Caenorhabditis elegans: one gene and its partner. The protein of the gene in region 1 interacts with the protein of each later gene in a pairwise test. Each region holds a gene or a part of one and is shown on either strand. Other genes may lie near its edges. The genes, in order: K07F5.14 and brc-1.

Region 1 (4,327 bases):
TGGAAGGAAACTTGTTTGAACGATTTGTTGTAAGTTTATTTTATAAATCACTGAAAACTTGCACAGTGTCACGTTTCAGGGAATCGGATACAATCGTATTTCGGAGCGAACCGACGATGAGGGATTTGTAACTTTGGTGCTGCGTCATCCTATTACAAACTTGAACACAGAAGAACGCCGTGACAAAATTCTTGAAATTATCAAAGCTATTCTTGGTGGCGGACCAAATGTAGAAGTTCGATATGCTCCTGGTACTTCGATGAGAACACTTTCTGATGGATGCACAGAAATCTGTATTATCGCCAAAGAAGGCGGATTTGTTGCAGGAGCTATTAAACTTGCTCAAATCCTCAATGATGCTCCAAAAATGACCCAATTAGAATCGCAGTTGCAAGTGGATAAAACAAGGGTTCTTCCTAAAGTTGGAATGTCGAAAGCACAAAGAGATAGATATTTGGAGACAGTTCCTGATGGTTAGTTTACTCGTTATTTTTACTATGTTTATCATTTATTAACAAAGATTTTCGTTTTCCTCCCTCGCATTGTATCAAATTTCATTCATTTCAGGAATCGATGAGCGTATTTGGAGACAAGCAATCAAAGAAAACCCAGCTCCAAACAAACTTCTTCCTGTTCCAGTACGTGGATGGGAAGCATTAAGAGACAGACAGAAGGCTCAAGTTGGCGAGTCGAAACTATTCCACGAGGCAATTAATGCATTGGGAAATCGTGTTGAAGAAGCTAATGTAAGTTGTTATAACTTGATGAAAGTTTACAAATGTCATACATATTTCAGCATGAACATGCAGATGCAGTTGTTAAGATGGAGATTATTCGTAATCGCCATAAAACTCTCTCGTACAGAATTGTTCGTGTTATGCTTGCACAATGGATTGTATCAAGATATTCACGTCAAATTGACACTGATGAGGATGTAATTGAAGCTAAAGCTGATACACTTCTTGCCCAAATGAATCGTCATAATCAAGTGAAGGTGAGAAAAAATTATGATTTAATTTTGTATAAAACAATTAATTTCAGTTTTATGTCGACAAATTCTACGAGATTTTGGAATCAAAACCGGATAAACTTCAAGAATCAATGTGGAAAATGTTTGATATGACAATTGAAGATGAACACTATGCTCGTAGAGTGCTTACCAAATTTGTTAATATTTGCTCTGGCCTTTACGAGTCAACACATCAACAAATCGAAAGTCTTGAAGCTTGTAGAAGGGCTCTAGAAGGATAATTTATTTTTTAGAAAAGATTTTCTGAAAATCTTTTTTTCAGATTTTCTCGTATTAATTTAAAAATTCGCTCATTTCTTTTGTATCATCATTATTTTCTTTCAAACTCTGACAGGTTTCTGGTTATTTCTGTTTCGACCTAAGATGTGTGGCAGAAAATTGTTTTTAAAACTTATACATATTGAGCAAAAAAGCTCGCTTTTTTCTATGTTCGCCTGTCATCACGAGTACATTTTTTCATAAAATATGCCTCATTCTTGGTTGTAACTGTTGATCTGACCTCCTCAAATTGTTAATTGTCTTATTTCACACACTGTTTAATAGATTGAATTAATTCATCTCAAACTTCTATCTAGAATAAATTTGATCTCCATTTTTCTGTTTGAGTTTTGTCAAATAACGGTTGTCTCCCGTTCGAATTTCTGCGATTTTCAAATAATTAGAATCACATAAAAACTATTGCAAAATGTATCTCAGAAAATGGACGATGAAGACAATGATGAAAAGAGACGTCAACGTTCAGATGAAGCTCGTCGAGCCGCGATGAGGCAAAAAATTCAAGATCAGAGAGAAAGAGATCGTCAAATTGCTGCTGACATTGCTAATGTTGACAAAAAAACGACAAAACGCATTGTATTTGAAGATTCGGATGATGGGGATGATCAGGATGAAGAAACAGAAAAAACAGCCGCGAATGGTGAAAAGGTTGGAAGTTTTTCAATTTTTTGAGATAAAAATCTCTTATAACAGCAATTGCCCGATTTCATAAAGTTGTTTGCTGTAAAGACAATACTCGTAAACTAAGTTGGAATAATTCAGAAAACCTCGCGCAGTTCAAAACGTCCAAAACTCTTCGATTCTGAAGATGAAAACGATAAAGATGAGGAGGAAGATTTTGAAATCAAAAATAGACACTCTGGTCCTAAAGGTATTGTCTAAAATTAAAATAAATTAAACCAAAACTATTTTTCAATTTTTAGGCGAAAAGCTGATGCACCTAGAATCACGTTTCAATAGTGATCCCCGATTCAAATTGGACGACAAGTTTGCAGAAAGTGATTCTGATGAAGATGGAAATATGGAGCAGAGCTCGGAAAAGCAAGAAATGAAATTAGAAAAAGATAAAAATCGAGAACTTTTGTCTAAAATTCTAGGAAAAAGTGTCGAAGAGAAAAAACCAAATACTATAGAGTCTTCAACACTTAAAGCTCGACCATTCACTCGTTTCGATCCTGAAAATCCTGAGCATTTGGAATGGATGAAAGCTTTTGAAGCTTCGAAAAATCCACAAAAAGTCAAGAAAACTGAAGAAAGTACAAATTCGGACGAAGATGGGAATGGAAGTGACGAAGGAGACGAAGATTCAACTGAAAAGAAAAAGGAAGAAGTCGTTGAAAAAGACGAGGAAAGCGGTGATGAGAGCTTTGAGAAAGCTGAAATCTTTTTCAAAATGGATGACGCGTTTTCAGCTGAAGTGAGTTTTCAACAAAAAAAAACATTTTTCACACAAAAATTATTTTCAGATGAAAGAACGAAAAGATGGTGATGATCCGTCAACTGGAGGTTTCTCTTTTTTATCAATGATTGGAAGAAAATATGATGACGAAGCAGTTGAAGATGATGGAGAAAATTTAAAGAAAATAGAACCAACACAAAGTAAAGCCGAACCGTCTGGAAATGTTGACAAAATCGAAAAATCTCTACTCAAAGTGAAAGTTAGCACAAAGTTTTTCGTCGATCCTCTGTCGGATGAAAAAATCAAAAGTTTAGCGGCTAATTTCAGAAGAACTCAAACAGTGGAGAAAGTTATTGATAAATGGGCACCTCATCGAGATGCTATTTTCAAGGTGAGTAGTTTTTTTTTTGAGCCTGACCGACTATTGAGCTCTGTTTTATTATTTCAAGCGAGTCTTAATACAAAAAAGATTTCAAATTGTTTTGATTCAGAAAGTTATACCAATTTCCAGTATGATCAAATAAGTCCACCATCTTAATAAATAACAAAATTTTCCCTAACTGTCTGATTCTCGTTACGCATACACAATCTCATTCTCAATCTTTTTGCGGAAAAGTGTCATTATTAATCGATTTTTCTTTCTTCTTCCAATATAAATTATTCATACATTTTTTAGCTCTGGAAGAAACAACGTCGTGATGCAGTAAAAAAGCAGAAAGATTCATTTTTCACAAATGGAAAACGAAAACGGAAAGCTGATACAGGAAACGAAGATGCTCCTGAGACTGCGTGAAATGTTCAAGATCTAATAGTTATTCAATTGTTCGTTGTTGTTTTTGTTGATTTTCAAATGTTTGTTATAGTAAATACATATTTTCAAATGTTTTGATTTTTTTGAAAACTTACTCTGGTTTAATTTCCGATGAGAATACCTTTTACATTTTTTATGATAATTTTTGTTAAACTATCATAATATTTCAGAATTCTTCAGCGTAATGTCATTTTCGGATGTTTTGGATGCAAAACCAAAAGAGCCAAAGCTCTATCGATTGCTTGGGTGTGATGAAAGCTCTTCGGTAGGTTAAACTTTAAAATAATATTTTCATAATTTAAGTTATATTCAGATAGATCAAATAACTGCCGAATATCGGGCACGGGTTCGCGACTGCCATCCGGATAAAGTGAAGGAGCACAACACGAATTCGACTGAAAAATTCATGGAGCTACAGGGAAGTTTAATAAAATAAATTAATATCAATAAAACGCACAATAATTGTTGTTACCTCTTCAGAATGCATATTCTATTTTAACGAGTGATTCTCGTCGAAAAACTTACGATTCGTGGCTTCATTCCCCGTTTCCAGTTTCTTTTGAAGACTTCACAAAGTCTCAGGACACTTTTCAGATGGTAATTTTGGCTCCGATATGTGTTTTTGAGTTTTTTTGGTTCGGTCCTTGTGCTTTTTTGTTGAAACTTTTAATTCTATTTAAAAGAAAATAAAAAATTTCAGTCAACTCACTGGGCAGTTCCAAAATCTCAACCATCTATTGCAGCCAATCAACCAGAAAAGTTGTCTCAAAATTTTAAATCTGAAAAATCTGAAAAATCACGCTGGTCCGAC
Region 2 (4,958 bases), on another chromosome or scaffold:
GCCAGAACTCGTCAGCATCGTTGATCGAGGAACGGTACAAATCGTGGTAAGATTGAAGGCCAGCACAGTGAGCACCGGCAAGGAGTGGGGCTGGAGGGAGGAAAATCTGAAATCTATTGGTTTTAAAAGTATTCTTTCGAAGAAATAAATTCTTACATCCTCGTCGAGACCTTCTCCATCGTTGGCTAGGTTGAACTTGACGCGAACGTCCGACATGATGAGATGCAATAACCTGAAAATGAGGCACTTTATGATAAGAAAATGCGGTAAAACATGCGAAATATGGCACCATAAACCGTGAGCAGGACAAAGAACAAACACTTGGAAAAGAAAAGAAAATAGAAAGAAAAAAAGGAAAACTGGAGAAAACAAACTCAATAACACAACGCGAGAAATACAATTTCGTTTCGTTTTTTCTTCTATTTATTAGATTTCTCACAATTTGTTACCAGTAAAGTCACGTTCTATATTTCAAACTACTCCTAAAATTCGGTTTGAACAGTTCTCTGATAAACGAATTTCGAAGAACGATCAGAAAACAAATCTACGGTTGTGTGTGATCAATGGGGTCAAACGGTGGACGAAAGGGGACGGCGGAGAGAGGAAAAAGTGAGAGAAAATAAATAAAATTGACCTTCGAGTGCAGAGTTTTGCTGGTATTTTGGTCAGAATTGATTATGAAAATCTGAAAATTACCGCCGGGAAAGTTGAAAATTTGACGTGGAAACGTTTAAAAAAATAAGATGAGAAAGTTAGTACTGTAGATGTCGTCGGATCAAGTGCACAGTACGCAAGCACCGTTACGAAAAATTGCACTAATTGCTCAATTAAATTTTTTTAAAAAATTAATTTTTATAGTGTGTTTTGTGTTTTTTTTCTGCTTTTTTAATGATTTTTAAAGGCTTGATTATGTTTTTTTCTCAAAATTTGAATAATCAATAACATTAATTAATTACTTTATTAAAAAACCACATTTGGCATTTTAATAAAGCAAGTTATCGCGACAAACGGCAAAAATGTCTCTTTTTATAAAAATTGTTTTTTTTTGAGTTAAGAGAAGATGTGGAGTTTTTTGAACTACATTAGTTTTCTAAAAATTTTATCATCTAGATTTTGAGGAAAAAAGCAGATTATATATCTTTAATCTTGGTTTTAAAATTTTTTTAAAAAGCAGAATATTAAAGTAAAATATTATAAAAAGAAAAATTCGTGTTTGCAAAATTTGTTTGAACGGAACCTTGCAAAAATGATATTTAGCAGCTAAACTAACTGAAAACTACTGCATAAAGCTTTCCCAAAAAGAGCTACCATCCAGAAAATGTTTTTTTTTTCAAAGCCGAAAAAGAAGAAAAAAAGATAGAAAACCGAAAAAGCAGCATCGTTTTCGCGCACTCTTTCTTCTTTTTTTCTTTCTTTTTCTAAAAAAAAATATTCTCCGTAGCTTGAAGTCTCAGGATTTCCAAAGGGAATTTCCTTGATAGAATATGGAAAAACAAGAGAGTCATCAGAGAAGGGAGAGGAAAAGCGGGGATGCTGGCGAAGACCGGGGGCACCGACTGAAATATAGGCACCGGCGGGGAGGCGGGGCGCTCTCTCCTCTCCGCTTTACTCCGCCCCGATTGTCAGTGGAGCAGGTTTGCAATGAGTGTTCTCTGATGCCCCCTCAGCGCGGGAGTTTTGAAATCAAATATTTTGTATTTTAACCTACTTTATTGATTTTTCAATTAAAATGAAATGTTATTTGTTTAAAATTTAATTTCAGATGGCAGATGTTGCACTGAGGATCACAGAAACAGTGGCACGACTGCAAAAAGAACTGAAATGTGGAATTTGGTAATTTATTTTCAAAAAATCAACAAAAAAACCTTAAATTGGTTTTTTTTCAGCTGTTCAACATACAAAGATCCAATTCTGTCCACATGTTTCCATATTTTCTGTCGTTCTTGCATTAACGCTTGCTTCGAACGAAAACGAAAAGTTCAATGCCCAATTTGTAGAAGTGTACTGGATAAGCGAAGTTGTCGAGATACTTATCAAATTACAATGGCTGTGCAGAACTATTTAAAGCTATCAGAAGCATTTAAAAAAGATATTGAGAATATGAATACGTTCAAGTCACTGCCGCCAGAGAAAATGTTCATGGAAAGTCAAATGCCGCTGGATATCACGATTATTCCAGAGAATGATGGAAAACGATGCGCTCCAGATTTTGCTATACCTTTTTTGCCAGTGGTATGCTTTTTGGCACAAAAAACCAATTAAAACCAAAAGAAAATCACTAAAAATATTTCTAAAATGTCAAATAAAAACATTTTTCACCTTTTTTTGTGTCGTATAGCGATTAAATCAATTTTTAATAATTTTATTACACACTTTTTTCATCGATTTGCTAATTTCTGACTGAAAATCATAGCGGACTGCGAAAAAATTTCGTCAAAAACACGAAAAAAGCAGAAAAGAAATATTTTTTACTTTTTTTTTGTTTGGAAAACTGGACTCTATAGTTACATTTTCTAGTGTATTTTTTTGGGAAAAAAAATTAAAAATGCAATACAAATTGCTAATTAGCTAAATAGTTGAAAAATTTTGAGTTTTTGCATAATTTAGTCCGTTTTTCGAAGTTATCATTAAAAAATTCGGCCTTTTTGGGCTATTTTGACTCTATTAACATTAAATCTGTATTTTCAGCGCCGAAAGCGACCGAGTCGACCACAACCGCCGAGCGCATTCGCCGAGGAGCCTGCAGAACCGGTAGAACCGCCAGAACCAGCCACAAAACAACCTGTAGAGCTCCAAAGTCGAGTATTCCCGCTGGAAAAATTGAAAAAAGACGTGGAAACCTCTACAGAAACGTATAAAATATCAAGAGAAGAACTGAAAAATGTTGATATTGAAGAATACATAAATACCCTCCGAGGTTGGTCAAAAATCAAAAAAAAATTCGCTAATTTTTGCCAATTTTCCAGAAAATTCGACAGAGATTGATGAAATCGATGCACTTTTCCAATTAATGCCGACGATGCGACAATTTCTTCGAAATGTTTGTGATGATTCGGGCTTATTTAGAGGAAAATAATTTTTGAAATAAAATATTTTTTGCAGAATATCAATCAGCTAATGGAGAAATTCCATGTGGCGCCACCGAAAAAATCAGAGAAACCAGCGAATCGAAGAGTATCCTTTGCGAGTTCTCAAGATCTTGAAAACATAAAAATTATGACAGCTTCTGAATCGCTGGAAACTCCTCCTGAGCCAATCCAAAAACTAGCCCAAAAGCCTGAAGTTTTCAAAAGTACTCAAAATTTGATCGATTTGAATCTAAATACTGCAGTGAAAAAGCCAGTGGTCGTAGCATCAGATGATGATGAAGTTGTAGAAGATTCTGAAGGAGAACTACAAATTGATGAAGATGATCTGGCAAATGTTACCTGTGCTACAAGTGTAAGAAATATAGGAAAATCATTGTGTGCAGAATATATCAGGGGTGTGCGGCAAATTTGCCGAATTTGTCGTTTGCCGAGCTCGGCAAATTTCAAAAAAGTTGATTTGCCGAATTTGCCGAGCTCGGCAAATTTCGAAATTTGCCGCACACGTCAAAAATTTGACAGTACAATTTCGACTAAAACTACTGATTTTTTCGCCAAAAATTCAGTAAAATGACACAAAATTGAGTTATTTTGATGCTTAAGCAGACATACTACACGGAACTGATTCCGAAGCCAGATGTGTGTTAAGAATTCGGTAGTTTTGGTGGTCCAAAAACATCAAAAAATATCAAAAATTTCCGAGTTTGTTAAGCACGGCAAATTTGCCGAATTTGCCGAATTAGCCGAGCTCGGCAAATTTGCCGAATTTGCCGTGCTCGGCAAATATTGAACAAAGAGATTTGCCGAATTTGCCGAGCTCGGCAAATTTTGCGATTTGCCGCACACCCCTGGAATATATGGTTTTCAACAGAAAAATTCAATTTTAATTTTAAAAAAAGTTGAATTGTTTTATAAAAAAGTGCTGAACCCGAAAAAAAAACATAATTTTGAGAAAATGCAAATATTTTTTCATTCAAAATTTCCATTTTTGTTATAATTTCGAGCATAACTTTAAAGAAAAAATTTGAAAATAAATTTTTAAGCAATTTTTTTTTAAATATCAGGTTGTCCCATAAGTTTTTGTACTTTTTTTCAAATATTTTTCCAAAACTTCTAGAAAGTTTTAAAATTTTTTCATCGTAGGTCGTGTCAAGGTCGGGTCGTCCCCTTTCAGAAAAGATTCATTTCATCCATTTCTACTTTGCCACGATGACAATCATCAAACTTGAACGTCGAGACGTTAGATTGCTTCTTCTTTATGAATTTCGTCTTGGTCATTCAGCAATGGAAGCGGAACGAAACATATGCGGTGCGATGGGTGAGGGAGCACTCTCTTATAATACAGCAAAGAGTTGGTTTCAAAAGTTCAAGAACGGCGACTTCAGTCTCGAAGAAATAGAACGTTCTGGGCGACCGGTAGAGTTAAATGAAGAAGACCTAGTGAAGCTGGTGGAGGAAGAGCCTCGTCTTAGTCTTCGTGAAATGGAAGAGAAGCTTGAGTGTTGTCATAGCACAATTGCACGTCACTTGGGTCGCCTTGGTTTTACTTCAAAACTTGGAATTTGGGTGCCTCATGAACTTTCGGCATCACAGAAGCTCACTCGGGTCAACGTTTGTACTCAACTTCTAACTTTTCGTCGAAAGTTCGATTGGCTGAACAATCTGGTTACTGGAGATGAGAAGTGGGTGCTCTATGTTAACCATTCCAGAAAACGTCAATGGCTTCCGATCGGTGAGAAAGGAATACCGACGCCAAAGCCTGATCTTCACCCAAAAAAGATTATGATCTGTGTCTGGTGGGGTGTTCAAGGACCCGTGCACTGGGAATTGTTGCCAACTAATAAAACTATCACTGCTGATTACTATTGTGCC

What was found.
Region 2: the proteins of K07F5.14 (region 1) and brc-1 interact in a two-hybrid assay, tested with the Caenorhabditis elegans proteins (one large-scale study listed by BioGRID).

Annotation. Positions count from the first base shown.
Region 1 is NC_003282.8:9,860,495-9,864,821, forward strand, and holds K07F5.14 (NUC153 domain-containing protein), read left to right. Parts: upstream 1-1,726; 5' UTR 1,727-1,729; coding exon 1,730-1,954; intron 1,955-2,068; coding exon 2,069-2,177; intron 2,178-2,229; coding exon 2,230-2,723; intron 2,724-2,772; coding exon 2,773-3,096; intron 3,097-3,381; coding exon 3,382-3,498; 3' UTR 3,499-3,573; downstream 3,574-4,327. Other genes in the region: npp-1 (Nucleoporin Nup54 alpha-helical domain-containing protein), read left to right, coding at 1-29, 80-473, 568-746, 797-994, 1,042-1,251; K07F5.16 (J domain-containing protein), read left to right, coding at 3,701-3,781, 3,830-3,931, 3,994-4,113, 4,217-4,327.
Region 2 is NC_003281.10:3,859,763-3,864,720, reverse strand, and holds the start of brc-1 (Breast cancer type 1 susceptibility protein homolog), read left to right. Parts: upstream 1-1,762; coding exon 1,763-1,833; intron 1,834-1,886; coding exon 1,887-2,232; intron 2,233-2,688; coding exon 2,689-2,917; intron 2,918-2,966; coding exon 2,967-3,040; intron 3,041-3,102; coding exon 3,103-3,441; intron 3,442-4,958. Other genes in the region: acs-19 (Acetyl-coenzyme A synthetase), read right to left, coding at 1-106, 157-216. UniProt on the Caenorhabditis elegans protein: E3 ubiquitin-protein ligase that specifically mediates the formation of polyubiquitin chains and plays a central role in DNA repair.